7 linked regions of the Ovis aries genome follow. The protein of the gene in region 5 binds, or shares a complex with, the protein of the main gene of each other region. Links are inferred from orthologs where the notes say so. Each region holds a gene or a part of one and is shown on either strand. Other genes may lie near its edges. The genes, in order: CHD4, HDAC1, MTA2, MTA1, CDK2AP1, MTA3 and HDAC2.

What was found.
Region 1: CDK2AP1 (region 5) and CHD4 share a complex: the UniProt entries of both Homo sapiens proteins name them as parts of the nucleosome remodeling and deacetylase (NuRD) repressor complex. The link is inferred for Ovis aries from reciprocal best matches to the Homo sapiens genes CDK2AP1 and CHD4.
Region 2: CDK2AP1 (region 5) and HDAC1 share a complex: the UniProt entries of both Homo sapiens proteins name them as parts of the nucleosome remodeling and deacetylase (NuRD) repressor complex. The link is inferred for Ovis aries from reciprocal best matches to the Homo sapiens genes CDK2AP1 and HDAC1.
Region 3: CDK2AP1 (region 5) and MTA2 share a complex: the UniProt entries of both Homo sapiens proteins name them as parts of the nucleosome remodeling and deacetylase (NuRD) repressor complex. The link is inferred for Ovis aries from reciprocal best matches to the Homo sapiens genes CDK2AP1 and MTA2.
Region 4: CDK2AP1 (region 5) and MTA1 share a complex: the UniProt entries of both Homo sapiens proteins name them as parts of the nucleosome remodeling and deacetylase (NuRD) repressor complex. The link is inferred for Ovis aries from reciprocal best matches to the Homo sapiens genes CDK2AP1 and MTA1.
Region 6: CDK2AP1 (region 5) and MTA3 share a complex: the UniProt entries of both Homo sapiens proteins name them as parts of the nucleosome remodeling and deacetylase (NuRD) repressor complex. The link is inferred for Ovis aries from reciprocal best matches to the Homo sapiens genes CDK2AP1 and MTA3.
Region 7: CDK2AP1 (region 5) and HDAC2 share a complex: the UniProt entries of both Homo sapiens proteins name them as parts of the nucleosome remodeling and deacetylase (NuRD) repressor complex. The link is inferred for Ovis aries from reciprocal best matches to the Homo sapiens genes CDK2AP1 and HDAC2.

The regions. Positions count from the first base shown.
Region 1 is NC_056056.1:209,650,458-209,654,547, reverse strand, and holds the start of CHD4 (chromodomain-helicase-DNA-binding protein 4), read right to left. Parts: upstream 2,801-4,090; 5' UTR 2,715-2,800; intron 1,881-2,714; 5' UTR 1,803-1,880; coding exon 1,703-1,802; intron 1-1,702. UniProt on the Homo sapiens protein: ATP-dependent chromatin-remodeling factor that binds and distorts nucleosomal DNA. Acts as a component of the histone deacetylase NuRD complex which participates in the remodeling of chromatin.
Region 2 is NC_056055.1:235,260,698-235,264,877, forward strand, and holds the start of HDAC1 (histone deacetylase 1), read right to left. Parts: upstream 2,801-4,180; 5' UTR 2,735-2,800; coding exon 2,686-2,734; intron 1-2,685. UniProt on the Homo sapiens protein: Histone deacetylase that catalyzes the deacetylation of lysine residues on the N-terminal part of the core histones (H2A, H2B, H3 and H4).
Region 3 is NC_056074.1:37,480,782-37,484,722, forward strand, and holds the start of MTA2 (metastasis-associated protein MTA2), read right to left. Parts: upstream 2,801-3,941; 5' UTR 2,420-2,800; coding exon 2,392-2,419; intron 2,288-2,391; exon of another isoform or gene 2,013-2,287; intron 1,660-2,012; coding exon 1,592-1,659; intron 1,216-1,591; coding exon 1,122-1,215; intron 1-1,121. Other genes in the region: EML3 (echinoderm microtubule-associated protein-like 3), read right to left, coding at 3,436-3,639, 3,722-3,852. UniProt on the Homo sapiens protein: May function as a transcriptional coregulator. Acts as a component of the histone deacetylase NuRD complex which participates in the remodeling of chromatin.
Region 4 is NC_056071.1:67,472,616-67,476,115, reverse strand, and holds part of MTA1 (metastasis-associated protein MTA1), read right to left. Parts: intron 3,351-3,500; coding exon 3,199-3,350; intron 3,096-3,198; coding exon 2,906-3,095; intron 2,832-2,905; coding exon 2,742-2,831; intron 2,075-2,741; coding exon 1,922-2,074; intron 1,800-1,921; coding exon 1,764-1,799; intron 1,642-1,763; coding exon of another isoform or gene 1,310-1,641; exon of another isoform or gene 1-1,309. UniProt on the Homo sapiens protein: Transcriptional coregulator which can act as both a transcriptional corepressor and coactivator. Acts as a component of the histone deacetylase NuRD complex which participates in the remodeling of chromatin.
Region 5 is NC_056070.1:52,346,530-52,350,785, reverse strand, and holds the start of CDK2AP1 (cyclin-dependent kinase 2-associated protein 1), read right to left. Parts: upstream 2,801-4,256; 5' UTR 2,543-2,800; coding exon 2,488-2,542; intron 1-2,487. UniProt on the Homo sapiens protein: Inhibitor of cyclin-dependent kinase CDK2. Also acts as a component of the histone deacetylase NuRD complex which participates in the remodeling of chromatin.
Region 6 is NC_056056.1:81,607,382-81,611,365, forward strand, and holds the start of MTA3 (metastasis-associated protein MTA3), read right to left. Parts: upstream 2,801-3,984; 5' UTR 2,080-2,800; coding exon 1,965-2,079; intron 1-1,964. Other genes in the region: KCNG3 (potassium voltage-gated channel subfamily G member 3), read left to right, coding at 3,536-3,984. UniProt on the Homo sapiens protein: Acts as a component of the histone deacetylase NuRD complex which participates in the remodeling of chromatin.
Region 7 is NC_056061.1:23,732,599-23,736,704, reverse strand, and holds the start of HDAC2 (histone deacetylase 2), read right to left. Parts: upstream 2,801-4,106; 5' UTR 2,567-2,800; coding exon 2,515-2,566; intron 1-2,514. UniProt on the Homo sapiens protein: Histone deacetylase that catalyzes the deacetylation of lysine residues on the N-terminal part of the core histones (H2A, H2B, H3 and H4).

The sequences.
Region 1 (4,090 bases), on a different chromosome or scaffold from region 5:
CTGTACTGTCCCTGTCCCCAGTCAACTACATCTCTAAGAGTCACCATCAAAGCTGGAAGTGGAGACTGGGACAATTCACATAGGCAAAGGGGACCCCCTTCCATCCACAGAAGACCCTCCAACTTCTCAGGCAGATGTGCTGACCTGCCAAGAGGCAAACTGGCTGATATAGAGGAAGATTTGGGAGAGGGGCAGGAATGGGGTGTGGCAAGTGGAAAAACTGGGTCACACTACAGCTTGGGGCAGAGTTCACCCTGGGAGCCCACACAGTTCCCAGTCAACACAGGGGCAGCCCCAGCCCGAGGGGCCAATGGGAAACCCAGATGTGGAGCCAGCACTGGCGGGACGACACTGCTGCTTCTCATGCCCCCCACAGAAAGGATAGGATCCTCTCAGCACTATCACCCTCCCCCACATCCTGGGCCATAGCACAGAAATCTGCCACTGTGCCCTCCACGGTGACAGGATTCAAGCCTCAGTTTCTGATCCCAGCAGCTGAAGACTCAACAAGAACACTGACCCTCTCTCCTAAGTGTACCTGAGTGGAAGGGGAGACTTCCAACTAAGAAAGCGCCAAATGTGGAACCATCTTTCCCAGACCACCTCAACTTGCAGCTGGAGCTAAGGAGAGAGAAGGCAAAAGGGAAAGATGTTTGCTGGGAAACAAAAACAGAGCCAGCAGGATCCCAACTTAATATATACAAAGAAAATGAAGAAATAGCACGTAAACAAAAAGATGAAGAAAACAAATAGGTGACTTAGCTAGATGCTCTGAAGAAAAGACAGAGAAAACAGAGATCCACTTTAGAAACATAACAACAATCATCATCTGAGAATAGACAAGAGTCATTCCAACCAGGCAGGGTGGTTAAAACAATTCGGGTTTGGCCAGTCCAAGGAGCCACCCCAAATCACAGACAGCACAACCCCCAACACACCTACACAAACACTTCACACCACCAGCCCAAACCCTAGGCTACCTGAGCAGGGCAGAGCCTTCTGGGAAAACAGCCAGGATTAAACCGACTTGCCAGAGAAAGAGGGGTGCCCAGGGTATCACCTCCCTTCTTTCTGCCCCTCCCAATGTATCCTGCAGGCTATGACATTCTACCCCAGCCCCACTCTTAACATTCCAGCAATCTGCCTGACTAAAAGCGCTCTAGATCCCAACTGAGGAGCGCAATTCAAACTTCACACAGTTGAAACTGCACAGAAAGCCGGTAACTGATCAGAAGCTAAAAATAAATCAGAGAGTAACCCGCACTCCCTCTTTCTTTTCCACAGCAGCAACCACAAGATCCTGCTAACAGAGATGCTCTGACGGTCTTCTCCAAGAGCAATCCTCAACCCCCTCACAGCCGCTGCCGCCGCGCCCAGCCTCCAGGGGTCCCAGGCACCTGCAGTCCTTCGGGAACCCACACCAGGCAAAGCCTACCAGCCCCGAGAGCTCCCTCGACCGGGATCCGCAGAGCGTTCCCAAAGACAGTGCAGCAAGCTTGCACCGCGGTCCGCGGAGCCCAGGAGGCACATGGCTTCCACCCCCCTCGCGCCGGAGCTCCGCAGAAGGGAACCACTCCCTGCGGATGCCCTCTACCTCAGGCTGCATGGTGGGAGCCCAAAAACTCAACCCTGCCTCTCCACAGTCACTAGGGAGGGCCCAGATGGCTCCTTCCTGCCCGGGGGCCCTGGGGGAAGGTGTTACCTGGGTGGGGTGGGGGCAGACTGTTGTTCAAAAGTGCATCCATGTCGTCCTCCTCGCTGCCCGCGGAGCAGGGGGACGGGGAGCCCAGGCCCGACGCCATCCCCTTCCGCTCCCGGCCAGGGAATTGGCCCAGCTGCTCCTGCCTGCGGCCTGGGGCCCTCGACACTGGCCCGAGTCACTGTGCGGGGGAGGGGGGAGAGAAAGAGAACAGTCAGTGACGCGCACGGCCCCCTCCCCCACCCCGCCGCGCTTTCCGCCCACCCCGGCCCCCCCTCAGCCACCCGAGCAGGGCACCCGAACCACTCAGGCTGAACTTAGTTCCACACTCCCGGGGGCGGCCCGGAAGCTGGCTCCCCGACTGGAGCCCCCCAGAGAGAGCGGCGCCCCCGAGAGCAGGCCGGTGCCGGCGTGGGGAGGGGAGAGGCCGCTGGACGGAGCCGGGCGTGACGGGGGATGGGGTCCGAGTGGCCGCAACTCGGGGGGGGGGGGGCCGGGGGAGGCGGCTGGCGGCGAGGCGCTCGGGGACACAAGGTCACTTGGGGGTGGGGGGGGGCGCCTCCCTGCGCCTGGGGAGGGGCCAGTCCCCAGACAGGGCAGCTCTCCAAAGGCTGTCCTCTGGGACAACTCGGGCTCTCCAGAGGAGCGGCGGGGACGAGGGGGCGTGGAGGCTCGGCGCTCCGGGGGACTGGAGGCGGGGGCGTGGGGGGCCGGCACTCCCACCGGGCAGGGGGCCGAGCCACGTGTCCCGGGGGGCAAGTGAGCTGAGGGCGAGGGGGGCGCCGGGCATTGTGGGAGGCCGAGTACGAGATGGGAGTCGCTGAGAGCGAGACTCGGGTCGGGCGAGGGCGGGGGCTGGGCGCACTGCCGGGCAGGGAGAGGCAGGGTCGGCTCCCGGGGCAGGGGGCGGTCCGCGGGTCCGGGGACGCCCGAGGAGCAACTGGGTGAAGGAAAGACCCTCGGGGCTGGTCGGGCTGAGAGGGGCGTCTCTCTAGGAACCCTGAGCTCTCCTCACCCCGGAGCCGCCGCAGGTCGCGCTGGGTCCGGCCCGGTGTCACTCCCGCTCCGGCTCCTCCTCGCCGCGGCCGAAGGGGGGAAAATGGCTCCGGCTCCGGCGTCGCCTCTTAAAGGGCCCGAAACACCGGCCGGGAAATCCCACCGCACAGGCCCCGCCCCCCCAAGGACAGCCCATAATAACCTCAACCAACTCCAACCCCCCCTCCACTACCGCCACCCTCCTCCTTAGGTCTCCCGGGCAACCCCCGCCCCCTCGTCGCTCCGGCAACCATTGGCCACGCCCCCTTCGAGAGCGCGCGCGCGTGTCACCCGGGCAACCACCCACCTCCTGGCCATCCCATAATACACACGGACACCACCCCCCCACCACCACTACCACCCCACGCACACACACACCATACACATACATGCCAGGGTTGTTGACATCTCATGATATTGCAGACCTTTTGCAACTAACCCTTTATCCCCACCCCCCGACATCCCATAATAGCTATCCTTTGCCAACTTCTTCACTCTTGGCCCTAACGCTAACATCCCATAATAATTCGTCACCTCTCCCTTCCCATGGCCATCCCATAATAAGCACCCGTCCCAGCCCTTCAGCCTCACATCCCATAATACTCATCCCCATCCCCCACAGACATCCCATAATAACCACTCTTCATCCACCCCCAGTTTGATATCCCATAATAGTCAGAAACTCACCCCCCCCCCATCAACGGACACTTCGGCCTCCTCCCACACACATCCCGTAATAATCAGTCTCCCACTTTCAGTACTGACATCCCATAATAACCCAACCCCTGGCGCTGCCCTCAGCCCCTGCAGGCTAGATCCTCACAACTCGACCCCCAGACTTCACACATTCATTCTAGTTCCACAGCCCTTAATAACCACTCCTCCCCATCAGAGAGATATCCCATAATGATCAACAGCCATACCGTCACCCCACAGATGGACAACTAATCTCCTTTCCTCTAACACTGGAAAGATATCCCATCATTTCACTCCCCCACCCACACACTGACAGCCCATAATAATTGCAAAGAACTCGTGGTCAACCAGACATACCATAATACTCCCAGCACAACCCAGAGTCACATCCCATAATGCTTCACCTCCACTACACTACCCCTATACCTTTTCAGCCAGACATCCCATAATATTCATACTCATACCTCCTCCATCTCCAAGGCTGTCAGTCTATTCTAACACCCACACCAGAGAGGGTGAAGCGGGCTACCCACATTACCCTGTCCCCGCCCCAACCTGTACACACCTTCATCCCTTAATGAGCCAAAGCAGTGTCCTGGCACAAAGCCTCTTGATGTATGAGATAGACCCTCGCTTTCCTCATCCATCATTTCCAGACAC
Region 2 (4,180 bases), on a different chromosome or scaffold from region 5:
AAGTAGTTTCTCAGAAAGGAAGAGATCACCCTTCTCTAAAGATGGAGGTCTTTCCACTTTTTCTCTTTTTAAACTGAGAATGTGGAGATCACAAAACTGTGCAAACTGATAAAGCTATGAAGTCACAGACTCCAGCTTCAAATGGGCCCTCACCACTGCCCAGCAAGGCTTCAAATGTTTTTACCTGCTCCCTCTTTCATAACAGCTATCTCTCTTCAAGATGCCTATTCTACCCAACTGCCCTCCCCAACTCTCACGAAAAGGAATATTTTCTTACTTCATCCTAAAAGCCCCCTCCGCTTTCCATCTTCTCTCCTTCAAACATGTTTTTTCTTGCCACTTAACCTCTCATCCCAAAGGAACTGCCTCTTGAAAGAGGGGTGTCCCTACGTGTGCTCTGGTTTCCATCTGACCTGATCTCTCCTCAGGGACCTCCATCGTTACTAGCCCCTCTCCCCAGTATCTTCAACCTCTCCCTAATTTCCATAAAAATTTGCACATACTTAACTCTCAGCCACTACATCTCTTCTTTATTAACAAGCCTCTCTCTGTCTCAACAAGCTTCCTTTTAAAGGGACTTCGTTGGTGGTCCAGTGGTTAAGACTCCGTGCTTCCACTGCAGGGGGCACAGGTTCAATCCCTGGTTTGGGAACAAAGACCCTACACACAGAGTGGTATGATTTTTAAAAAAGTTCAATCTAATGCCTCCTCTTCACTCAACCCTTCAGTCTACAGCAATTTAACTTCAGTTCTAAATGCTGCACAGGAAACAGTTCTTGCCGACACTTGGCCACTCCCTCCCTCTTTCGGCTACTGTAACCCAACACTTTCTGGTTCACTTACATCTCAAGTCATTCCCTCTGTATCTTTATTCACTTTATGAACAGTATTTTTTGAGAATCTACTACGAGCTAGGCACTGTTTTGGGGGCCTGAGTATACAAAGGTAGACAAAACATGATCCTTTTCCCTAAGGAGTTCACTGTCTGTAAGAAGTATGAATAAGTAAATGGGCAATTCCAATACACAGTGACTAATGCACAAATGTACTCTACACACCAGGGAGTACAGAGCATGAAGAACACTCGACTTTTTCTCAGTCCACCTCCTTAGAATCCCACCCTGGACCCTCTTCTCTTTTCACCCTATACAACTTCTTATATGGGATACAAGGGTAACTGCATCCTCTTCTGTAACTAAAATTATCAGCTGTATGTATATATGCTGACAATCATCAAAATTTTCTATTTTCTCATTTGTCTTCTAAACTGCAGACCTGAATGGCCACTGCCTACTGGACACCTCTACTTGGGATATCCCCCAGACATCTCAACAAATGTTTCTTTAAAAAACAAAACCCAACATTATCAACTGGAATGGCCTTCTACATTCAGCATGAAACTGCCCAAACTAGATACTTGGGTATCCTTGCCTTTTTCCTTACTTCTCCATTCATGCGTTTAACTTCTGTCCCAGAGTGATAGTTCTAAGGTACAATAAATCTGATGATGTCACTAACCTGAATACTTCAGTGATTCACCAATGCCCAACTTGTGAATATAATCCAACTTTCTTAGGGTGGTGTGCCCAGCCTTTCGTGATCTGGTCCCCATTTACTTCTCTAGCCTCATCACTTGCAACCCTTTTCTCACCCCTGCTCTACACCTTCTAACACTGTGCCTTCAAATTTATGTCTCCAACATACTGTACATCCAGCCATTTTTCAAAGGTGCTCGCCTCTCTCTTACCTCTCAACTTGTTGTTATTTTTATCCTTCCTGGGCCTAGTTAGTAACTCCTGCTTTTCAGGTCCTAACTGAGATGGCACCTCCTTGCCTGACTTCTCAGGCTGGGCAGATACTTCGCTGTGCTCCCAGCAAACTCTGAGCTGTCCTTCCTCCCAACCTGATAGTGTAGAGCAAATTTTCTGTCATGGTCTATATGCTCCTCCAGACTGAGTGAAAGGAAGGTGGCAAGATCATCCCCTGGCCTCAGCCCCTAAACGATACCTAGAACAGAAGAAGCTGCTGCTCCACAGATTTCTGTTCAACGAAAAAGTTTGTTTTAACAAGTTGCATCCTTCTTCTTCCAACCCCAGGAGTCCCATTTCCCAGCAGCAACCGCAGGGCCCGCTGGGAGACAGGGGGAGGGGAGCTGGTGACCTCTAGGTGCTGAGTCCTGCAGGCCTCTCACCAGAAGAGATGAGGAAGGAAAGGGGCAGTGAGAGATCTTAGGATTCTCAGCAGAACATGTCACCCGGCAATCTTCTTCACCAGATTCTGCCTCCTGCCTCGGACTCAGCCTCCTCTCTAGGAGGCCGCCGCAAACTCCACATCAGACTTCAGAATTCCCCACCAAGGTGACCTCACGCTTCCCCAGGCGACCCTCCTGACCTCGGACCCCCCCCCCGCCCCCGCCTCCCCTCTAAGCCTCGACCCCCTTCCCCTCAGCCTTCTCCCTCAAGCTCCACCTCCTTTCCTCTTAGCCTCCTCCCTCAACCCCAACCTTTTCAAGCCTCTGCCCTCAGCCTCGACCTCCTTCTCTCAGCCTCAGCCTCCTTCTCTCAGCCTCCTCCCTCAGCCTTTCCCAAACGCCTCAGCCTCCCCCCTCAGACCTCCTCGGCTCCCTCTCCCGGATCCCGCCCGGCTCGGGCCCGGCCCCGCCCCCGGCGCGAGGACTGTGCTCACCGTCGTAATAGTAACAGACTTTCCTCTTGGTGCCCTGAGTCTGCGCCATCTTGCTCGCCTCCCGTCCCTCCCGTCAATCGGTCCGTCCGCCCTCCCGCCGGTGGCTCCGCTCAGCGTCCGACCCGCGGGGAGGGGGCGGGCCTCCAGCGTGCTCCGCCCATCCCCGCCCGGGCTCACCTATAGCCGCGCAGCCCGGGCACGACTCCAGCCAATCAGCGGCGCTGGGACGGCCCGGAACTCGGCGGGGGGCAAGGGCAGCCCGGCGAGGCCTCGGAGGGCCCCCTGGGCCTGTACCAAGGTCCGCGACAGGGGGGGGTGGGGCTGCCCCGGGATCGTACCATTCGTCCCGGGGGAAGAAAGTGGGTCTGCTAACTTGGGTGTCCCATTCCGTTTTGGGAGACTGCTTGGCGATCAGAGGCCAACTTTCATTTGACAGAGGCCTACGATGGAAAGTGACTTGCGCAAGGTCACTCAGTTAAGTTTGGAGGGGGAGAAATATAAATTGACAAACGACAGGAAACTGCTGTAGACGAAGGACTGTGCCATAGCTTTACCGACATTATCTCGGTCATCTCTGTTGTTCCTATTGGCGGCTTTGGAGTGGGGCCTTTCATCCGCATTTTACAGACAAGGATAACGAAGTTGAGAACTTTGTGACTTCCTGGGAGTCACACAATAATCACGTTCAGTTTTCAACCACAGATTTTTTAAAACGCTTACTCGACTCCAGAAGCACATATCAAAGTGGCAGAACCCAGCCTTTCTTATTCCAAATGCGGTCTTTCTTTTCAAATGCAGTCCTTTCTTACTCCTGATGCAATTCCTAGGCGGCCTAAGGAGTGCCTTTAGATGGGAGGAAACTGTTGCTTACACCAGAGCAGAGTTTCTAAAGATACTGAAGCTGTTAACATTTTGGATAATACACAAATATGTTGTGGGGGGCCATCCTGTGCACTGTGGGCTTCCCTAGTGGCTCAGACAGTAAAGAATCTGCCTACAATGCTGGAGACACAGGTTCAGTCCCTGAGTGGAGAAGATTCCCTGGAGAAAGGAATGGCTACCCACTCCGGTATAAGGATACTGGAGAATTCCATGGACAGAGGAGCCTGGCGGGCTACAGTCCATGGGGTCCCAAAGAGTGGGACACGACTGAGTGACTAACATTTTCACTTTGTCCACTACTCTTAGATGCCAGTAGCACTCCCCCAGCCCTCTGCAGCTGTGACAACAAAAATTGTACTTAGACATGGCAAAATGTCTCCAGGGCAAGGAGGAGAGGATTGGAGGAAGTATAAAAGTGCCCCCAACCCAATCCTTGAGAACCACTGCACTAGATCAATCAGTCAATCATTATTGAAAGCTAAAGGCTGAAAAGCACTGTGGTGGGCTATTAAAGAGGCAACTACAACAATATTAATATTTGGTGAGTGCTTACTGTGTGCCAAGTAAGTTACTTATGGTTCTACAGTCAATAAGATACATTTTTATGCCTCTT
Region 3 (3,941 bases), on a different chromosome or scaffold from region 5:
AGTTTGTTTTGGGGGCTCTCAAGGACAGTACCTCTCAAGCCAGTGCCAACACCTTATTCCCCAAGGAGCTGCAACTTGCCCTGAAACCTTAGTGGAAAGGGTTAACTTGGTTGGGTGCCAACCAAACAGGGAGGGGGCAGAAGAGCCACAGGCCCAGGCTCATTGGTGCATTGTTCCCAACCTCAAGGAGAAGGGGGGGGCAGGGGTGTGCAGTAGGCTCCACCCCTTGCCTGTGTGCTCCGGAAACCCTGTGCTAAGGCAAGGGGGACCACACCCCCCACAGCCTTTCCGATTGGACAAGACCAAGGTCAGCCCCTGCCAGACAGGGTTGGAAACCCCAGAGAGCCAGAGAACTTGGTCGGCCCAGGTCCTCCTTAACCCCTTCACGCCCAATGCTCAAAGAAGCCCAAAATAAGGAAAATAATTTAGAAAGGAAGAACAAGAGAAAGGGGAAAGAAAGCCAAAGCAGGAAAGGAAAAAGAAACTATAAGAAAACAGAAAGCTGTGTATCTAAAAAGATGAAAGCATCAAGAGAAGCAGGATAGGCTGAAAAGAAAAGGGAAAGATGTAAAATGGAGTCCAGGGCTAGGTGAGTCCTAGGCTATGTGAGAATAGAGAAAAAGCGCAAGAAAATGTTCCTGGCTTCCTATTTTCTCCCATCAGTGTAGTCTTACCACCTCATGATCACACCAAAAACCTGCCTTCCTATTATGCAGGCTTCTCAGTCCAGTCTCTTCTCTTCACCTGACCTTCGCAGTCACCACCTATCATCCCAACACAACCGAAACTGTCCCCCTAGAGATCTGCTTCTCTAAAGTGCTTCCTCATCCCCGATTTACATACTATCATCTCTTTAACATACACCATTCACAAAGGCAGATTCAAAAATACACACTCACACACAAGCCAAATTCTGGCTTTCCTTATCATGGCCTCTCCACCTTGCTTCTAACCCAACATGTAAAAACAGGCCTCCCTCTGCAGACCAGGCACTTCCCACCCCCAAACTCACACCCCTGCCTTGGGCATGCTACAAGAGAACACCTGCAGGGACATGCCCAGGCTTCAGATCATGGGCAGGGGGAGACAGGGAAACCGGGGGTGGGGACAAAGACACTCACTGGCATTACTATCAGCCAGGCTGTTGAGGCTACTCGAAATGTCCCTTCGCCGGAAAAGGCACACAACCTTTGCCTCCACGTTTCCATTTGCAGTCTAAGGAGAGAAAAAACGGTGGTGAAAACTAATCATTTGAAAGTGGAAATGCATAAAGAAGAGACTAACATCAGTGAACAAGTTTCTAAAGGATGTAAGAAAAACTCAAATTATGAATCAAGAGATTCACATTTAAGGACAGACTTCCAAATCCCTTTCCTCAGCCCCCCAAAAAACAGAACAGTAAAGTTCCCACTAAACTCTTAATAGCCTTTCCTGAAAGCGTGGAAGAAATGAATGAATGAATATGCATGGGTACTTAGGACAGGGTTTCTGTTATCGCTTGTCTCTCATTCACCTGAAGTTACAGATCTCTGAAAAAAGAAGACGGAGGTTGCTGGGTAGGGGGGGAGTGGCGGGCCTCTGCTCTACTCACCTTGTTGAGCTCTTCAATCCTTCTAACCAGGTAAGGATTGCTGGAGGAGTTCTCAAAATAGACGTAATCTGTAGGAGGGGGTGGGGGAAGAACCGGGAAGATCAGAGGAGTAGATGGGAGAGTCCAGCACCAGAGTGGGAGGAGCGAAAGGAGGCCTGAGTAGACCAAAAGGAGATAAGGGTCTAGGTAGAGAGGACGCAGAAATGTGGAAGTGTACAGACTAGCAGAAAATAATGGACGGACGTTCCACCCCCTAATCACCCAGTTATTAAATCAGATCCTCCGCTCAAAAGTGAGCCTTAAGGAGGAGACAAGAGAAGCAGGGGGTTCCCCTGCTCAGCAGTCCCCACAACTCAGCGATGGAGTTGCATCCCGGTCTCGTTCAGGAGAGCAATTGCTCATCCCTGTACAGGGCCCCCACCTTTGTGAACCGAGGCGCACAATAACGCCTGGGAAAAGGAAACCTCCCGGCCGCTCCCCCGTTGGTGGCCAAGCAGTTGCGCCGGCCCTTCGCGCCCCCTGCCTGCCCTGTCAGCCCCTTTGGAACCACTTTCGCAAGCCCACTCCACGACCCCGGCGGCCCAGACGCTGCCCTGAGAGTGCCGTCGGGCCGCCCGCAGCCTCCCCGGGAGTCTCGGAGCCCGGGCGCGTCGCGATCCCCGCGCCCTCGCTCCCCATGCTCCCGGTTCCGGTTCCGGTCCGCGCTCTGGACCACGCCGCCCCAGACGCGGGTCCCCGCGCCGCTGGGAGCCGAGCCTCTCCCGCCCCGAGTCCCGAAGCCCCTAACACCCGGTACTCACCCCCCACTCGGTACATGTTGGCCGCCATGGCCGTTCCCGCCGCCGCCGCCGCCGCCTCCGGCCGCACAAAGGGGTCCGGAAGGCTCCCGAGGGCAGGACTCGAAGCGAAGCCCTGAGCGCGGGGCCGGCGCTTCGCAGAAGTCTCAGTCGGGCCCGCGCAGCCGGCGCCTCCGCAGCCTCAGCCGTCGCGGCTCATCCCGGCCCGCGCTGTCGCCGCCGCCTCTATAGCCTCACGCCCGGGACGCCGAGACCGGCGCCGGTCCGCTCGGCTTCTTCCGGAACGAGCTCGGATCCCGCCGGACCGGAGGCAGGCTGCAACTACCTCCGCCCTCGCCGAGTCCCACCAGACGTTGGACTCTGAGGGCCGCCGCGAAGACTTGCCGGCCCGCCTCGGGGTTCGCCTCCTTCCGGAACACCTTCGGCGGATCCGGAGAACAAGGCCCAGCACTCGGCTCCGGTCGGAGAGCAAGCCCGCAAAGCTCGGCTACTTCCGGAAGAAGTTCGGCTCCCTCCGGCCAACCGCGGCCCGGCACTCGGCTATTTCCGTTGCGGCTCGGCCCCGCCTCCGAGGGCGGGGAGAGGAGTTGGGCTTAACTCTCTGCTAGCCGGAGTCTTGCAGCTCCACCAGCGGCCGCGAAAAACTCGAAGGGCCTTTGAGCCTCGCAGTTATTTGCAAGAGGCTTCGCCTGTTATTTGCATAAAAAGTCCACCCTCCCTCACCTTTTCCGCATTCCCCTTTGCCTTCCTCCCCGCCCCCATAAAGCCCCGAGGCGCCCAGCCGCGCCCCACAAAAGGACCGGGAGGCGACTTTGCTTTTGGTTTATTGCCCCTCAGCAGGCAGCGGGAGTCAGGGCCCAGGCTGGGGCTGCCCGGCTCAGCCAGCGGGTCTATACAGTGTGTGCAGGGGTGCCGTTCGCCCCCTCCAAGGAAATGCACTTTTGGGAATGTCTCGAAGTCGAGGACAGGGTCACCTCGGTCCTGGGGAATTTGGGTGGGTGGGGGCAGGGCCACACTGCAGGGCCGGTGGGTCCAGTCCGGCAGGGGTCAGACGTCAAGAGAGGAGGCAGGGGACAGGGAGGGGGTTCGAGAGGGCGTGGTGGGCACCGGCCCCGTGCCCCCAGCGCCCAACACTCGCCACTGGAAGATGCTGGCGTCCTTGCCGCCCAGCGAGATGAGGTGCGAGTCGTCGTGCGTGAACCGGACGCTGGTCACGTGGCTGCCGTGACCACCGTACACGAGGCTCGGCGCCTGGGCAGGAGAGAAGATGGAGCTGCAGCGGCCGAGGAGCTCCGGCCGCCCGCCCCACCCCGGAGGCCCCGGGAGGCCTCACCTTGGCGTGCGCGCACGGGTACTGGAAGAGGTGCACTTTGCAGAAGTCGTCGGCAACGGCCACGACGCGCTCGTTGTGGGAGCGGCACAGGGAGTTGATGTCAGTTCCATCCGAGCCATCTGGCCACACGCCTGTCACAGCAGCCGGCCTCAGCCCGACCTCCCCGCCCCCACCCGCGGTCCAGAGCTGCACCATTTCCCCCCTAGCTCAGGCAGCCCGG
Region 4 (3,500 bases), on a different chromosome or scaffold from region 5:
AATAGCTGTCCAGCCCCCATTTGCAGCACCTCCTAACTTGGGGTAGCCGCAACCCCAGCAGGCAGGGGCAGGGGCCCCGGCAGCCAGCCTGCAGCGCTCACGAGCTGTCCACGGGTGTGCACAGCTACACACAGCGCTCAGGGCTGTGTGCTACTTACCCAGGTAGGTGCCTACCAGAGGGACGGGTGGCAGAGAGAAGAAAGCACACAGTTAGCGTGGGGGACGTACACACGGGGCCCTGGGGCGGAGGCAGCCACAGGCCACAGAGGGCCAGCTTAGGGAGTTAAGGCCCCCTGGGGTCAGGGCCCTGGCCTAGAGCCGGTCCTGACATCTGCCGCTGCTCCGGCCGCCACACAGCACCCCAGTGAGCCTGAGTGCAGCCCCTGACGCCCGCCCGGGATCCAGGGCTGGCGCTGAAGTAGCTACGGGAACACGTGGATTTTGGAAAAACTGACGGAAGTGAATAGAGTTTATCCCACTGCTATCAAGAGCTCTTTACAAGTCAAGCCCTAAGCCCCAAGCCCTGTTGATAAGACCCGCTTCCCCTCCTGTGGGATGTGGGCAGCCGAGTGGACCAGCCACTCTGTTGAGACCAGGGACTGTGAGAACACCCAAGGATGGCTCCAGGGGAAGGGGGAGGTCAGCAAGGGGGCAAGGCTCAAGTGAGCTGGCTCCCCAAGGGGTCGTGGGCAAGGCAGCAGGGGGCCTGGGGCGGGAAGAGCCTGTGTCTGGATGGAGTGAGAGGACCCGACCTCAGTGCCACCAGCTGACCCTCAGCAGGTGCCTGCCGGGCTCCTGGACACACTGAGATGGGCATGTCCAGGGGACCAGGCTGGGCCAGATAGCCACTGCCTCCCACCACCTCCCAGAGATCCAAGAACCAAGCCTGGGCCAGCCTCCTGGGCCGGCAGGTCTCCAGTCCTGAGACTGGGGGAAGGCTCCGGCCACGTCCATGCTGGCTGCCCATGATGCAGCGTGGGGGTGTCCACGCCAGGCCGGACCTTGCTGCTGGGAGGGGCTGGCGGGAGGAGCTCTGAGTGCATCCCCCTAAGTTCCCCTTCTGTTGGTTCCGTTCACCTCCCCCTCACTGGTCCTGCCACAGGCTGACTGTCGGGGGCACTGGCCCCCACAAGGCTGAAACGCTCCTCGCTGGCACCGTGGTGACCCCTACTAGAGCAGCCCGGGACCACTGGGTGGGCGAGGGAGCCACACTCCGGAAGCCAGTGCCAGCTGCGCCCAACAGCAGGGGAGCCCTGTGGTGGCCTCACGCCCCGGCACGAGCCCCCCACTTGGGACAGGGCCCACAGTCTCAGCCCCGGGTGCACCTCCCCGTGGGGCCCCGGCCTGGGCCTTCCCTGGGCCTCACAGACCCCCACCCAGCCATGCCAGCCACACCACAGCTCTGTCCCGTCGGCGCCCGAGGGGCTAGGGTCCCACAGCCCCCCACCAGGCAAGGCGCAGGCAAGGTCACAAGCACAGGGCGGGCGGCCACGTGAGCTGAGGCTGACGGCATGCGGGCGGGCGGCAGGGGCGCCACGGCCGCCCGACAGAGGACAGTCCACTGACCGGCGCTGGGCCCGGACGGAAGGGCATTTCGCGAGCTGGGGCGCCCGGGTGGGGGCAGGGGCAGCCCCAAGGTCTCTGCCGAGTGACAGGTGGGCGCCGGGTTAGGGGCGCGGCCCAGCCCGCGTGGACTGCCCTGAGCCATCCGCCACACACACGTGAGCACAGCACACAGGCAGGTGCGGAGGGCCGGGCCTTACCCCTACTGGGCATCAAGAGGCGCTTCTTCACGTTGCCTGGCAGCGCCCGGCGGCAGGAGAGAGGAGAGAACACACGGTCAGCAGGCGCGGGCGCGGCGGGCGCCGGGCACCCCAGGCCCACAGCCACGCCGGCCGAGCCCGAGACCCCCCGGACTCACCGTCGACCCCGTTGTGCTGCTCGTAGCTCCTCTTGCCCAGGATGGTGGGGGAGCCGTTGTTGATGACAGGGGCCGACTTGGCAGGGGTCAGGCCGCTGAGCACACCAGACACACTCTTCACTGGGTCGGGCTTGGGGGGGCGGGGGTGCGTCTCTGCAGGGCCAACACAGGCAAGTGGGCACAGGCTGCTCCTCAGCGGCAGCCCCACCACCCGGGAGTGTGTGGGCAGCCCAGGCCCGGTAGGCACGCCAGTGTGGCGCCCTGGGCACCCTGAGGGCAGCGACAGAGGCTGGGGCTAGACCCCTTGGTCCAGCCGACGGGCCCACCGGCGACCACCAACCAGCACACAGGCTCCAGATCCCCACAAATGAGCAGGTCCCCTTAGCGGCCACAAAGCTGACAGCCCAGGCTGGCCACTGGCCAGATGATAAACTAGGGTCTCCATCAGCTGACCATGGACAGGTCACCAGACCGGCTCCAGGAGGCGCAGGCCTACACCTACCAAGTGCCCCAGCCCTCAGCGGCTCTCAGAGGCCAGAGCCCAGATAGCAGGAGGGGCCACAGCCGCCTGTGTCTCCCGGGGGCCCGCCAGCTCCGAGCGTCTTTCCCAAGGGAACTTGGGCACAGGGGGAGGGACCGAATCCTAGCCCAGCGCAGCAGAGCGGAGGGCCACGGACAAGCGGGATGCTCGAGGCCCCAGGCCGCCCCTCTGCGTCCCTCCTGGGGGGCACGCCTCCCACCCAGGCCAGAGCCCACCCAGGAGGGCACAGCATGGGGAAGACCACTCCGAATCCTCACAGGACCCTGCGGGCGGGCTCACCGAGGAACCGCAGCACGGCCTCCAAGGGCTTCCGCGTGGCCTGCTTCAGCACCAGCGGGCTCTGGGAGGCTTCCGGCAGCCGAGCCGTGCCTGCGGGAGGGCGCCAGGGTCAGTGCGCGCGCCCGCCGGCAGCACCCCACCCCGCCCGCCCCGGGCACACTCACACTCGGCCTTGATGGCCGCGCCGTTGATGGGCGTGTAGGGGTGGCGGGCGGCGCGCCAGGGGCGCAGGATCTCGCGGCACAGGCGCCGGGCGATGCGCGTGAGCTTGGTGGTGTGCAGGTAGAAAGCCTGTCGCGTCTTCATCGCGAACTTGGGGCTCCCGCTGCTCCGCGCCGGGATGCCGTGGGGGCTCTGCGGAAGGGGGCGCGCCGCCCCGACACAGCGCCATGACCGCGGGCCGGGCCGCAGGGGCGGGCGCGCGGGCGGGCGGGGCGGGGCGCGGGGCGGGGCTTACCATGTTACTGCGGTTGGGTCCCGGCCTCTCTCCATCTAACCGGGTTGGCATTTTCAAGCCACCATATTTCTTCCAATATGTCCAACAAGATGCGCAGAGGCGACACTGCATGTTAGGGGGACCCCAAGAATACCACTGGTAAGACTGGGTGGCTACGGACAACAAAGTTGAAAATAGACGGATTCTTAAGCAGAACCAGTGACGGCAAAGAGCATTCCACAGCTGCCGCCCGCCCACACCACCCCGGGCCCGGGCACCGCGCTCCCCTTGCTCCCCATCAGGGCTCCTCCCGGCAGAGTGCG
Region 5 (4,256 bases):
GGGTTAGTTCCTGAGAGAGGGAGAAGGAATGGGTTGCAGGCGTGGAAGCAGTGTGGAGAAGTCAGGCAAGAGCCCAGAGCTTGATTTGCCTGTCACCTGGGTGATGTGGTAGTCGACCCGACTCTGAGCCAGTCCTTTGCTCAGTGTTCAGAGGGGGGTGCCTGTGGCCCTGGGAAGAGTTGGCGCAGGGACCCCAAGTTCCACTCATGCCCACAGCTTCCTGCAGACACAGGGAGGGCCGGCGGTCCAGCTGCCCAAGGCCAAGGAGAAAACCAGACAGGGCGTGAGCACGGTCGTCTCAGAGCATCGCAGACAATGCGCGCAGTGTGCGGGGACCAGGGAGGGCCCTGAGCCGAGGGAGGGATTGGCAAAGGCCAGCAGCTCCTGGGGCCAGGCGCGGCTCCCCGCCCCCACGCCAGACAAAGAGCGGCCCGGGCCTGGGGAGCTGGCGGCCTTCCCGCCACTTGGGGCGCCTGGGGGGGCTCTCTGGCGGGGAGGCGGGGGCTTTGTCTAACTCCGCCACTGCCACCGCCGGCCAGGCCGCGGCTTGGCAACTCGCGAGCAGGAGGCAGGGCTGGAGGGCGTGAGGGATGATGACAAGGAAGCCGGAGGAGCGGCAGTGGAGAGTCCATCTTGGATGCAAATGGCTCAGGGAGATGCGGGCTTTCTAAAGGGGTCCACGCTCAGGGCAGGGGGCAGGTGGCCCCTCACCCGAACACCAGAGATCTGGAGACCTCAGCGCTCCTCCTGGAGTTCACCACAGGAGAAGGAAGACAATCTGGGCACAGGTGCTAGCCAGCCCAGAGCAGGGCTTCAGGGTGCCTAAGCGGGTGGCTTGCTCCCTCTGGGACCCCAGTCCCCAAAGGGCCAGGTTCAGGGTCCCTGCCTCAACTGCACCAGGGGAACCTGAGACTTCCTGCCCACCTGGGCCGGCGGCAAGACCCTCCACCCATCCCACCCCAGAGTCAGATGAGGGAGGCAGTGAGAAACATTGGCCACAAAGCCTGCCTCTTAAGGTGTGCAGACCCGAGAGATGAGAACATTTCAGCTGAAAATAGGGGCCGTTTGCTCTTGGGGCTCAGACAGAGCCCACACTTGACCAACTAAACTATCTACCCCCACAGCCATCCACACCCTGAATCTTAACCCTTTCCAATCCCCAAATCTCTGTCCAAGAAGTTAAACACACACACACATATATACACCTACGTATAGGTATATACGTACATGGACATACACTTAGTGCTTTTCTGGGGCGCCCTTCAGATTTTGGAGTTATCGAGTTAACATTAGAAGACAAGGCCCAAAACTTTCGGCCAACTGCCAGCGTGGCACTTCTGACCAGGGAGGCCCATTTCCTTCCTGCCAAGCCCCTGCCTCCACCCCTACCCCCATGCACCTCGCTTTTTTGGAAGTTTCCCACCAAGAGTCTAAAGGAGAACCTCGGTGAGAGGGGGCAGTCAGTCACCTACGAACCCCACAAAATTTTACCACCAGCCACACACATCCCGCGTGCCCCCTTGCCACACACACACCCCGCCCCCGCCCCGGTCTCTGAGGCAAGACCCCCAGACTCAGCCTAAAGCTTCCGGACAACTTATGCAGGAGTTTTCTGGGACCGCCCAGCTTCAGCCCCAGCACACGGAGAGCACTGCTCCTGGAGGAGGCCCCTCTAAACCTAGACTTGGGGGCTCCAAGCCGGGACCCCGGCTCAATGCCTCCCCCGCCCTCCGCCTGCAGGCAACTCCGAAGCCCCCGGTCTTCTTCAACTTCTCTCACTTCGCGCACGCCTGAGGGGACCTCCCGTGCGCCCCGTTTTGGGCACCTGCTCCCCCACGCCAGGCCGGGCGGGCGTCCACAGACCACCTCCCCTGCACCGCCGGTGACCCCAGCGGCCCCGCGCCCTCGGGAGCGGCTGCAACCTGGCGCTCTCGCCGCCCCGCAGCGCCGCCTGCGCGTGGCCCGGCCTTGCTCACGTGCACCCCTGCCTCCCGGACCCCCCGCCCGGGCCTGCCCCTCAGGTCCCCAAGGGCGGACCCGCGCCCCGCTCCCGGCGCCCCGCTCCCGGCGCCCCGCTCCCGGCGCGACCGGGCCGCTCCCGATTCCCGCCGGCAGGGGCCCTCGCCGAGCCGCCCAAAAGCCGGAGGAAAAAGGAGCCGAGAAAGCCTCCCCCGCCCTCGCTCGCCGCGCTCCCCACAAGCCGGGGCCGCCGGCGTGGGGGGGACCGCGGCGGCCGCCCGCGACCCGGGCCCCAGCCCCGGCCCGACCCGAGGCCCGGCGCGGCGCGGGTCGCACCCGCGAACTTTGGCAGCGCGCGCGCCGGAATCATGGCGGCGGCGGCCGCGCTGCCCCGGGCCGGGACCCGGTGCCCGCCGACCCCGGCCGCCGCGGGCTCCCGGGAGCCGGGGCCGGGGCCGGGCGCGCGAGCCCCCAACTTGGCTGCACTTGGGGCGCGGCGCGCGCAGCCCGCGAGGCGCACTCACTCACCGGCGTTGAGGGAGGCGGCAGGCATGTGCGCGGTCAAGTTCGGTTTGTAAGACATCCCCCCGAGCGGCGGGGCGCGCCGGGGCGCAGCGGGGCCCGGCCCGCGAGGGCGGCGGCGGCGGCGAGACCCGGCGGCGGCGAGGCGGTCCTGGCGTCCGTGCGCCCGTCCGTGCGCCCGCCGAGCTCCCGCGCACTTTTTGTTGTTGACGGCTCGGGCCGCACCGGCAAATATGGCCGTCCCTCACCCTGACACCCGCTGCAGTATATCACCCATACATCGGGCGGGCGCGCGGGCGCAGGGGCGGCCGCAAACTTTGAGCGGAGCCAGCGGGGCCGGCCGGGGCCGGGAGGGGGCGGCCCGGCGCGCCGCGGCCGGGCGTCAGGGGGCGGTGCCGCCCGCGGCCGCGCCCCGCGCCTCCGGGCGCACTCGGCGCCCGCAACTTGGCAAAGTTTGGGGGGCTGGGGTCCCGGCAGTGCCCGAGGCCCACCTGGGTCCCCTTCTTCTGCTGCGCTGGCGATGCCTGGAGATTTGTTGCTGTACCGATTCATTTTTTCTTTTTTTTTTTTTTTCTCTAAAGCTAGGTAGGATTGCGGAATTACTTTTTCGCCCCCCCCCCTCCTTGACTGTGGGGGCAGGGATGGAAAATTACCTGGAGAAAATGGTGGCGAGTGGTATTTTTAAGCACGTAGATCATTCCAGACGCCGAGGTCTGCCTTCTCCCCAGAATAAGATCAACCAATTCTTGACATTGATTTCAAATAAATTTCACGTCCCTGTCGGTATTAAGTGGTTGTTAACCCCTTGGCGGCCTAGACTCCTTTGACACTGGACAAAAGCCAAAGGCCTCCTCCCGCGAAAAACACACCGTCTCATCCACCTAATTTTGCATCTTAACTCGTTCAAATATTTAAAAAGCGCCTGCTGTGTGGCGAGCACTGTTCTAGGCGCTAAGACAAGAATAAACTTGACCAAGTTTCTTCTCTCCTGGAGATTACATTGCAATTTTTGACCCTCTTCCTACCCCACCACAGCCCACTTCTCAAATCTGACTGAATTGCAATCATGAAATTTATTTTACATCAGATGATGAAGCTTTTGAAGGTATTATTTCTTGGAGTTCTCCTTAAATAGTAAATCTTCTCAAAAGACACAAGATGCCCGCCCTTTTCTGCCATTTTTAATCGCCCTGCTTTGCAAATATCTTTTATTAGCTACAGACTTTCAGATACATCTGGATCTAGTGAGAATTCTTATTGCCCCAGAGGTAAAGGATACACCCATTCCCTCCCTCCTTCCTTTAGAAGTGAAGGTACAAGCGACACCCCTCTTCCCAGGATCGCTTGTGATCAGCTTTAGGCTGGTTCCGTCAAGGATGTTCAGCGAAGTGTTAGTTCGGGGGTAAATTAATATCATCCTTTTCCTACCCTGCTCTCAGGGGACCAATACTCTAGAGTAGCACTGTCCAATAGAAAAGTATTGCAAGCCACATATATATTTTAACAATTTAAATAATCACATTTCAAAAAGTAAAAACTGATGAAATTAATCTTTTTTATTTAACATGATTTAAATATATAACGTATTAAGTCAATATATAATAAATATAAAGCAATTATTAAGATACTTTACATTCTTTTTCTGATACTATATTCAAAACCCACCGGGTATTTTACCCTTACAGCTCATCCTGATTGGGACTGGTCACATTTCAACAGTTTGGTAGCCACAATAGCCAATGGTTTACTTATTGGACCAGTACAGGGCTAGAAGC
Region 6 (3,984 bases), on a different chromosome or scaffold from region 5:
TTTGATTCTTGAACTGGGGAATGACTTGATGAAAATGAAGAAAAGGAAGAGCTGTTCAGTGGCATGATATAGGATTCACAGATGGAGGGAAGAACTGGAGTGCAGAGATCAGACAGGAAGCTGTGGCAGCAATGCAGGCCCTGGAGACCGAGGGTTTAGGGTTTGGAACTAGAAACTGTGGCTCCAGCTGTGTCTCCACCGTGATGCTGCTGGTTGGGGAACCTTGGGCAAATTATAGCCACATCTCTGAAGCCTTGTTCCTCCTCCCCAAATAATGGGCTTATAAATCGACACAAGAAAATCTCTTTCAAACTCTAAAATTCTGCCTGATGCCCGATGCAGTCTAAAGATTTACATATGAAGACCCTAAATATCATCTAGAATCCAGAGAAGAATTTAAATGTAATAATTCTCAACAACAATATCAAATCTTAACATATTTTTTCAAGTACAGAGGAATAAAATTGTTTTTAAGAATGCTTTTTAAACCAGATTATATTGAGACAAGCCAATCATTTCTGCATCTTATTGTTTTCTTTGTTTAAGAAAATGACTTGGGTTATTGTTGCTGCAGTAGCAGTTGACGATATTAAAATCAAATAAGAATATTACTCTTGAAACAAATGAAGTGATTTAAACCTATCTCTCTAAGATATTTCATGAAAGTATACCTAGGAGACACAAATTATACTGTCATCAAATTAATTGGTTTTCTAAGCTCAAATGTAATTTAAAATATGATATTTCTTTGACTGGTCCTATCAACAGACTTTAAAGGGATTTTAGATAGAGAACATAGGAAATAAATATAGTAATGTTGAAGCAAATAATCAACAAAATAGTTGTTCTGTGTTCTGTTGCCTGTACAGCTTCTAGAAAGTATTTTTAACGACTCCCTGAGGAATCGGCTCTTGCTGGTGTGAAGCCAGGCTCTTCACTCCACTAGCAGCAGCAAACTTTTCTTCATCCTCATATTCTAGAACAAATCCATTTCCAAGCTGTGCTGAGTCCTTGGTTTCAGGGTTTCTCAGAAATGAACCCTTTCTTGTCTACAGAGATTCAGGGGTGGGGTTCCCACTTCTTGGCTGCAGAAGTGCCTCCTCCTTAGAACAACCTAAGGGGCAAATGACTTTTCCTGAGATCAAGTCAGTTCTATTCTTAAAACCTTCAGGGATCCCATTAGCTTCCTGGATGAAAGCTGACTTCTGGTAGTGGAGATCCCCATGCGTTCAGCCAACCGATGCATTAGCTTTCTTTCAGGCTTTAATCCTCCACACCTGTGATTTTGCTATTAGACATGCTCTGCTCTTTCTCTCTGCCAGTTCATGGCCATCACTTCTTTTGATTCTGTCTTGAAACATTTCCTTCAGGATGTTTTTCTAGTTTAGTAGCAGCTTAGCAAGTAAACAACTCCCATTTTTGAGTTTTTAGTTACATTAAATGCTTTTAAGATAAATTATCAAGTCTAGATATAAAAAATTTATAGAGATTTGCATTCTTTAAGAAATCACCCAACAAGGAACTATATTCAATATCTTGAAAATACTTTTAATGGAAAAAAACTGGAAAATTGTATATAGTGTCTCTACATATTTATCTCTATATATCTGAATCACTTCGCTGTACACCTGGAACATTAAAAATCAAGTATGCTTCAATTTAAAAAAATAGGGCACAAAAAACCACCCAAAATGATTTTACTTTGTGAGCACTCCAATTTTTAGGTGTCTGCTTTTTCGCTAAGAATCCACACTAGAATCAGAGCAACACGACTCTTTCTGGTGACCTCTAGTGGGCACTAGATAACCCTACACAATTATGAAAAGTGAAGGGCAAAGTAAAACCCTTCCCAGTAACCAGCTGGTGTACTCTGAAGCCAGATCACCGCATCCCACCTCACCCCACCACACTCTTAATTTTTCTTTTCGTATGTTTTGCATTTAACAGTTAGCCTTACAACTCACCTGTTTCGCCTCTGGCGGGTACTGCGCGAGCAGGGCTGCCTGTGCCGGAGGTCGTGTGAATTGCTTGGAGCAGTTTAAAATAATCCCTGCCCAGTGGAGCCCACTCCCAGGGCATCGAGCAGTGCCCAGGGAAGTACCCTTCGCAGAGCCTGAAAGGGCTCTTCAAGCTCGAGGGCCGGTGCTGCAGCCGGCTCGGAGGTGCACAGGAGAAATTAAGACATGAAAAGGAGGATGCAGACAAAGATCAGGCAAAATTCTGTTCTTGCCAGTGGCAAGACAATTCTCCCCAGACTTTCATCCCACTCTACAGGGAGCGTCACGAGGGGGTCCAGGGGCGCTAAGCTTAGGCGCTCTCTTAGGACCGGTGCCCCAGAAAGCGGGGGCTGGAGCCGCTCCCCTCCGAGAGAGGCGGCACGGAAGCTGGGTGCTGGGATGTGTGGCCGCCTTCGGAGCACGCGGTACGTGGGTCTCCGCGCCGGGAGAGGAAGGAACAAAGTCGGCAAGAAAAGAATTGCTGGGGTGCCTTCTCTTGAGAAATTCTGTGGGGCGGTCTCAGAAACCTAGCTGGGCTCCGGAGAGTTTCTGGAAAAAGCTCTCCCAGAGCCGTCTGTCCCCGCCCCTCAAATCCTGCACCCCAGTCCTCACTCCTCCTTACCCTCCTGCAGCCTCCTTTTGGGGGGCCGTTAAAAGGGCTCTTGGGGACTCCCCAAGTCATCCCGATGGTCCGGGGAGGGACGCGGGAACTGAGATCCCCAGGCGCGGGGCTTTTCTGCCCCTTCCACTCGGGGCTCCAAGCTCGGCGCATCCCTGCTCTGCGGACCCCTCCCGGCCACTGCAGGCGAGAGCGGAGGGGGAGGACGGCGTCACGAGGCGGGGAGCCCGAGGTCCAGGGCGGGGCGCCGGGGAATCCCAGCCCGAGCGAGGTGCGGGCTCGGGTGGGAAGAGGAGGGCGGCGCGCGGAGGGAGGTGAGCGGAGCGGAGCCAGGAGGCAAGGAGGGGTAACCGCGAGGAGGCCCCGCCCCCGCCTCTCGGGGCCGGCTCTCTGCCGCCTCCGAACCCGCTCACTTTGCCTCTTGCCTCTGGACGGCGGTGGGGCGCTTGCCGGAGCCGTGGCCAGAGGGAGCGCCGGGGACCCGGAGCCATCCAGCGCCCTCGCTTCCTCTCGGCGCGCACGCCCCCGGGGCGGGGGGGAACAGCGCCGCCGCCTTGAAAGGGCACCCCGGCCTCGGAGGGAGCATCCCTCAGGCGCGAGGGGCGGCGGCGCTGGCAGCCTCTTTCTCGGCCAGTGGGGCGCAGCGCTGGCGCCTGAGGGGGACTCCCCGGCCACCTGCAGGGACCGCCGTGCGGAGGGAGCGTCGCTAGCAGCTGCGCTGGGCTGCCGAGAAGGCTAGAGCCAGGGGCCCCCGGGCCAGCCAAGGGCAGCAGCGGAGCCCGGAGGGAGAGCCGGCCGGACAGCCCGCGGGCCCCGACGGCGCGCTCCCCCTTCCGCCATCCGCAGGCAGGCCCCGCGCGGCGGCCGGAGGGGGCGGCGGCGGCGCCCCCGGGCTTGGGGGGCTTCGGGGCAGCCAGCCATGACCTTCGGGCGCAGCGGGGCGGCCTCGGTGGTGCTGAACGTGGGCGGCGCCCGGTACTCGCTGTCCCGGGAGCTGCTGAAGGACTTCCCGCTGCGGCGCGTGAGCCGGCTGCACGGCTGCCGCTCGGAGCGCGACGTGCTGGAGGTGTGCGACGACTATGACCACGAGCGCAACGAGTACTTCTTCGACCGGCACTCGGAGGCCTTCGGCTTCATCCTTCTCTATGTCCGAGGCCACGGCAAGCTGCGCTTCGCGCCGCGGATGTGCGAACTCTCCTTCTACAACGAGATGATCTATTGGGGCCTGGAGGGCGCGCACCTAGAGTACTGCTGCCAGCGCCGCCTCGACGACCGCATGTCCGATACCTACACCTTCTACACCGCCGAGGAGCCTGGCGCGCTGGGCCGGGACGAGACGCGACCCGGCCGTGCGGAGGCCGCCCCTTC
Region 7 (4,106 bases), on a different chromosome or scaffold from region 5:
AGAGTCAGTTCTCTGATGCACAAGCTCTTTCCTCACAATTGAAAAAAAAAAAACTACTATCACTATCCTTATAAGCTGACAAAATAGGGTTTTCCTGGTGATGAAAATCTAAGCTTTTGGAATTAACTATCCACAGCTTAACATACTATCACCTACAAAGAATTAGCATAATGATACCTATTCATTTTAATAACCTGTGCAAAATATTTTATTAGCCCACCCCCACAAAAAGAACCCAGAGCATATTCCCAATGTAAGCAATTACATATTCCATTCTAAAAATTAGTCAAGGAAGAGCCATAGACAAAAGACAGATAACCTAACCAGAGACATCTAAACATTCAATTATACACCTGCTGTTGGCCATCAGATGAAGCAGCTGAATGGTCCACTATAAACTATTGACTAAATCACAAAGATTACTCTTCCTATCAAGTCTGCATCCTGCTCTTGGGATCAATACTTGCTCCCATCCCCTCAATGAAGGCTCATTGTAAATGGGCCCAGGAAAAGAATAGCTGTTGATAAAACTGCTACTTAAGTGTACCTTCTGGTTCTGCAGTTCAAGCCTGGTGACAAGAAGTTTCAAGCAGCTCATTTCATCAGAGTCTATCACTGTCAACAGCAACTAACAGCTGCAGGCAGAGCCTTAGTACCAGTTACCCTAACCTTTTAAAACCCTTCTTCTCTACCCCAAGCCCTGCTAACACATCTCTAAACCTTAGAAACAATATAATTTTAAAAATTAAGTTACACACATGGTTATTTACTTTTCAATTTGGTCATGGAACCCAAGTCAAGGCCAGTGACCCAAAATATGCATGAACTCTTAAAAAATTAACTCGAAGGAACTTCAGCAATTTACATTAAAATTAAAATCTCCTCCCATCTCCACCCCTTCATGATGGCATAATTTCAAATCAATTTGTATCACATATACATGCAGTCTTCTCAAAAAATATTTTAAAAACATGGCTGTTAATATTTAACACTTAGATTTCTTCTGTAAGATTTTAGATTGTTCCACAAATTACACAGGTGGTTATTTTATATAAACAGGCATGAAAATGATTCATGCTTGCTAACTGAAGAGATATGATATGGCCATTTTAAAATTAAAGTCTAGATTTATTCTGACCTAGTCCTCTAAGATCTTTCCATCAGTCTATGATTTTACGATTTATGATACATTGAATGTAGGAAACAGCTTCCAAAATTTTTATTGCTTCACACAAATCAGATGGACTTTCAGGTCCCTGAACCTAGCTTCTTTGTTAAATTTTAGAATTTCTTCTCTGGAGAGTAACCTAACTAGGAACCATTTACCAAGTTAATATCTTCGTGCAAACTATAAAAAAGGTAACAACTTCTTTTAGTTTAATTTAGACTAGCACAGGAAACGGGATTCAAAAAGACTTACTGCTCAAATTGCAAATGAAGTCAGGACCTCTAAAACGAAATAATTAGATTTTTATAATTTACTGTTCCATGAGCTCAAGCTTATCTGATTATTTAGTACTTTCTGCCGTACTCCTCAAAGTTTTCCAACACCAGGACTCCCACCACCTAGAAACAGCTTTCGCAAGCCAGATGCCAAACCTATCGGTCCTACACCTCCAAAGCAGGGTGTATTTCCTGATCGAACAAAGAGCAACAAAGAAGTGGGTGGTAACCGCCTCTCAGAGAGGCAAGCCAGGACCCATTGAGGCTGATCTACAACACGAGCGACAACACGCTGCCCCACCACCGTCGCATTTCCCGTGAAGACTGACTACCTCAAACTCGAAAACCCTCATTATTTATTGAGGAAGTGAAGCCCTTTCATTTAAGTGCTGAGAAAGTGGCGCTCAGAGAACCCGGCAAACAAAGGAAAGGGATGGAGCCCACGCAAAACAAGGGTGCGAACGAGCCTCCAGGTGGACGTGGGCCCCCACCCTCAGGGGCTACTCTCCAGCACCCAACCCGGTCGAGGGGTCCAGGGTGAGGCCGGCGGCAGAGAAAAGGAGGAGACGCTCGAGCCAGCCGGGGACACAGAGGAGGGAAGAGGCGGGGAGGGGAGGGTTGGGGGCTGGAGGGGCGGAGCTCTCGGGGCCGTGGGGCTTTGTGTGCAGTCTGGGCCGGGGTAGCTGTTTCGGCCCGCGAGAAGAAATAGGGTGCAGGCGGCCGGAGCAGGGGACCCCCAAAACCTCCCTCCCACGAGCGGCGGGCGGGACAGGCGCGAGGAAGGGCCGTCCCCTTCGCACCAGCACCAAGCCAAGGCAGGCCGGCGGCGGACCGCACTGCCGGAGCGAGAGGGGCCGGAGGGAAAGTGGGGCGTCCGTTTAGCCCCCCGAGGAGGCTGCCGGACGGCGTCGGGTCGGGAATGGGTTAAGATGCTGCCAAAAGTCGGTCCCTCCTCCTGACCCCTCAGCACCCGGCGCGACAACTCGCGACGGCGGCCGCAGAGCCGATGCGGCTCCGGGCCCGGCGCCACAGCCCTGGGCCGCCCACCCTCCCGCCTGCCCGGCGTCTCACCATCATAGTAGTAGCAGACTTTCTTCTTGCCGCCTCCTTGACTGTACGCCATGGGCTCCCCGGCCACCGCCGCCTCCGGCTCCTCCTCTTGCTGCTGCTGCTACTGCTGCCTCCGCGGCTCCGGCGGGGAGAGAAGGCTGGGGCGAAGGTGGAGGGTGGCAGTCCCGCGGGGAAGGGCAGGCCGGAGGGAGGAGAGGAGGGGGGGAGCCGGGAGGGCTGGGTACCGCCCGGCCGAAGGGCCGAGAGCGCGGACCAGGGGGTGGCAGCGGCGCCAACTCGCGACACTGGGGAGGGGGAGGGGGGCGCCAAACTACCTCCGGAGGCCGAGGGGAGGTGGGGCGGGTCCACTGCGACTCCACGGGGGAGGAGGGGGCAAGAGGCTTCTTCAATTTGGGAAAAGAGGCTTTCTTATGATGAGCGACTTGCACAGGACGGCTACCCTATACAGTCGTAAAAGGATTTCTTTTTTAAAGAGCAGGCTTTCGCTTTTAGATTAGGTAGGTAAAGGGAGCATGGAGCCGGGTGCAAGCTTCCCCCCTTCGGATCTTTGCGCAGTGGTTGTGCCTATCCTGAGCCTGCGCAGTCGGCGCCTCCCCAACCGTAGCCCGGGCCGCCTGGACCCCCTCCGCGAAGTCCCACGCTGCTCCCCTCCCCCTCTGTCGCGAAGCTCCCGCCGGGGCGGACCACGTGCTCTGAGCCGGGCGCAGAGAGACCACTATCCCACCGCTTCGACCTTCTTGAACCCGCCGAGCTGCAACCCACGCCCCCTGTACTGGGTCGTCGTGCATTTCATTTATTTTTTTCATTTTCTACTGATAATCGCTGAGAGGAGGTTTTGACCTCGGAAGAGGTCCCCCCTATTAAGGGGACCTATTGCAGACATTAAAGAGCAGAGAGTACTGCCTGACTTTAAATAGGCAGTTATGGCATGCATGTATGTGTTAGGGTTCTAAGTAATTTATTATGTATTTCATTTATATGTGTTAACTCGATTGAGACTCCCAACAACTGGGAGTAAGCTGGGACGTTAAGTATTGTTTCTAGTTCTTCTTTATAAATGGACTTTATAACGCACTTGGTCCTCTCCAAGGTTGATGGTCTGGGGTTTGATTTCAGCCTTTCTCTAAAGTCCACACATCCTAGCTACTCCATTATGACTGCTTCTGCTGGCTGGGCACTGGAAGATGGCAGCATAAAGTTCAGAGAAAGGACTTTCAGAACTTTTGGACGTTATAAATACCTTTGCCCCTGTGTTCAATAAGTCATCAAACATGGAGCCTTTTCAGCCACCCACCTTGTAGGTGATTGGGGTGGGGGTGGGGGATGCTCTTATTCCCATATACCATTTATTGTTTATAAGTGCAGACTCAGTCACTCAGCCCTGTCTGACTCTGCGATCCCGTGGACTGTGCCCCCCTCCGAGAGGAGCAGGTTGCCATTTCCTCTTCAAGGGGAATCTTCCTGATCCGGGGTTGGAACTCCGGTCTCCTACATTGGCAGGTGAATTCTTTACCATTGAGCCCTCTGGGAAGCCCATTTACCATTTATACATTTCCCCAGATACACATTCTCTCCCATCCCTATCAAAAAAA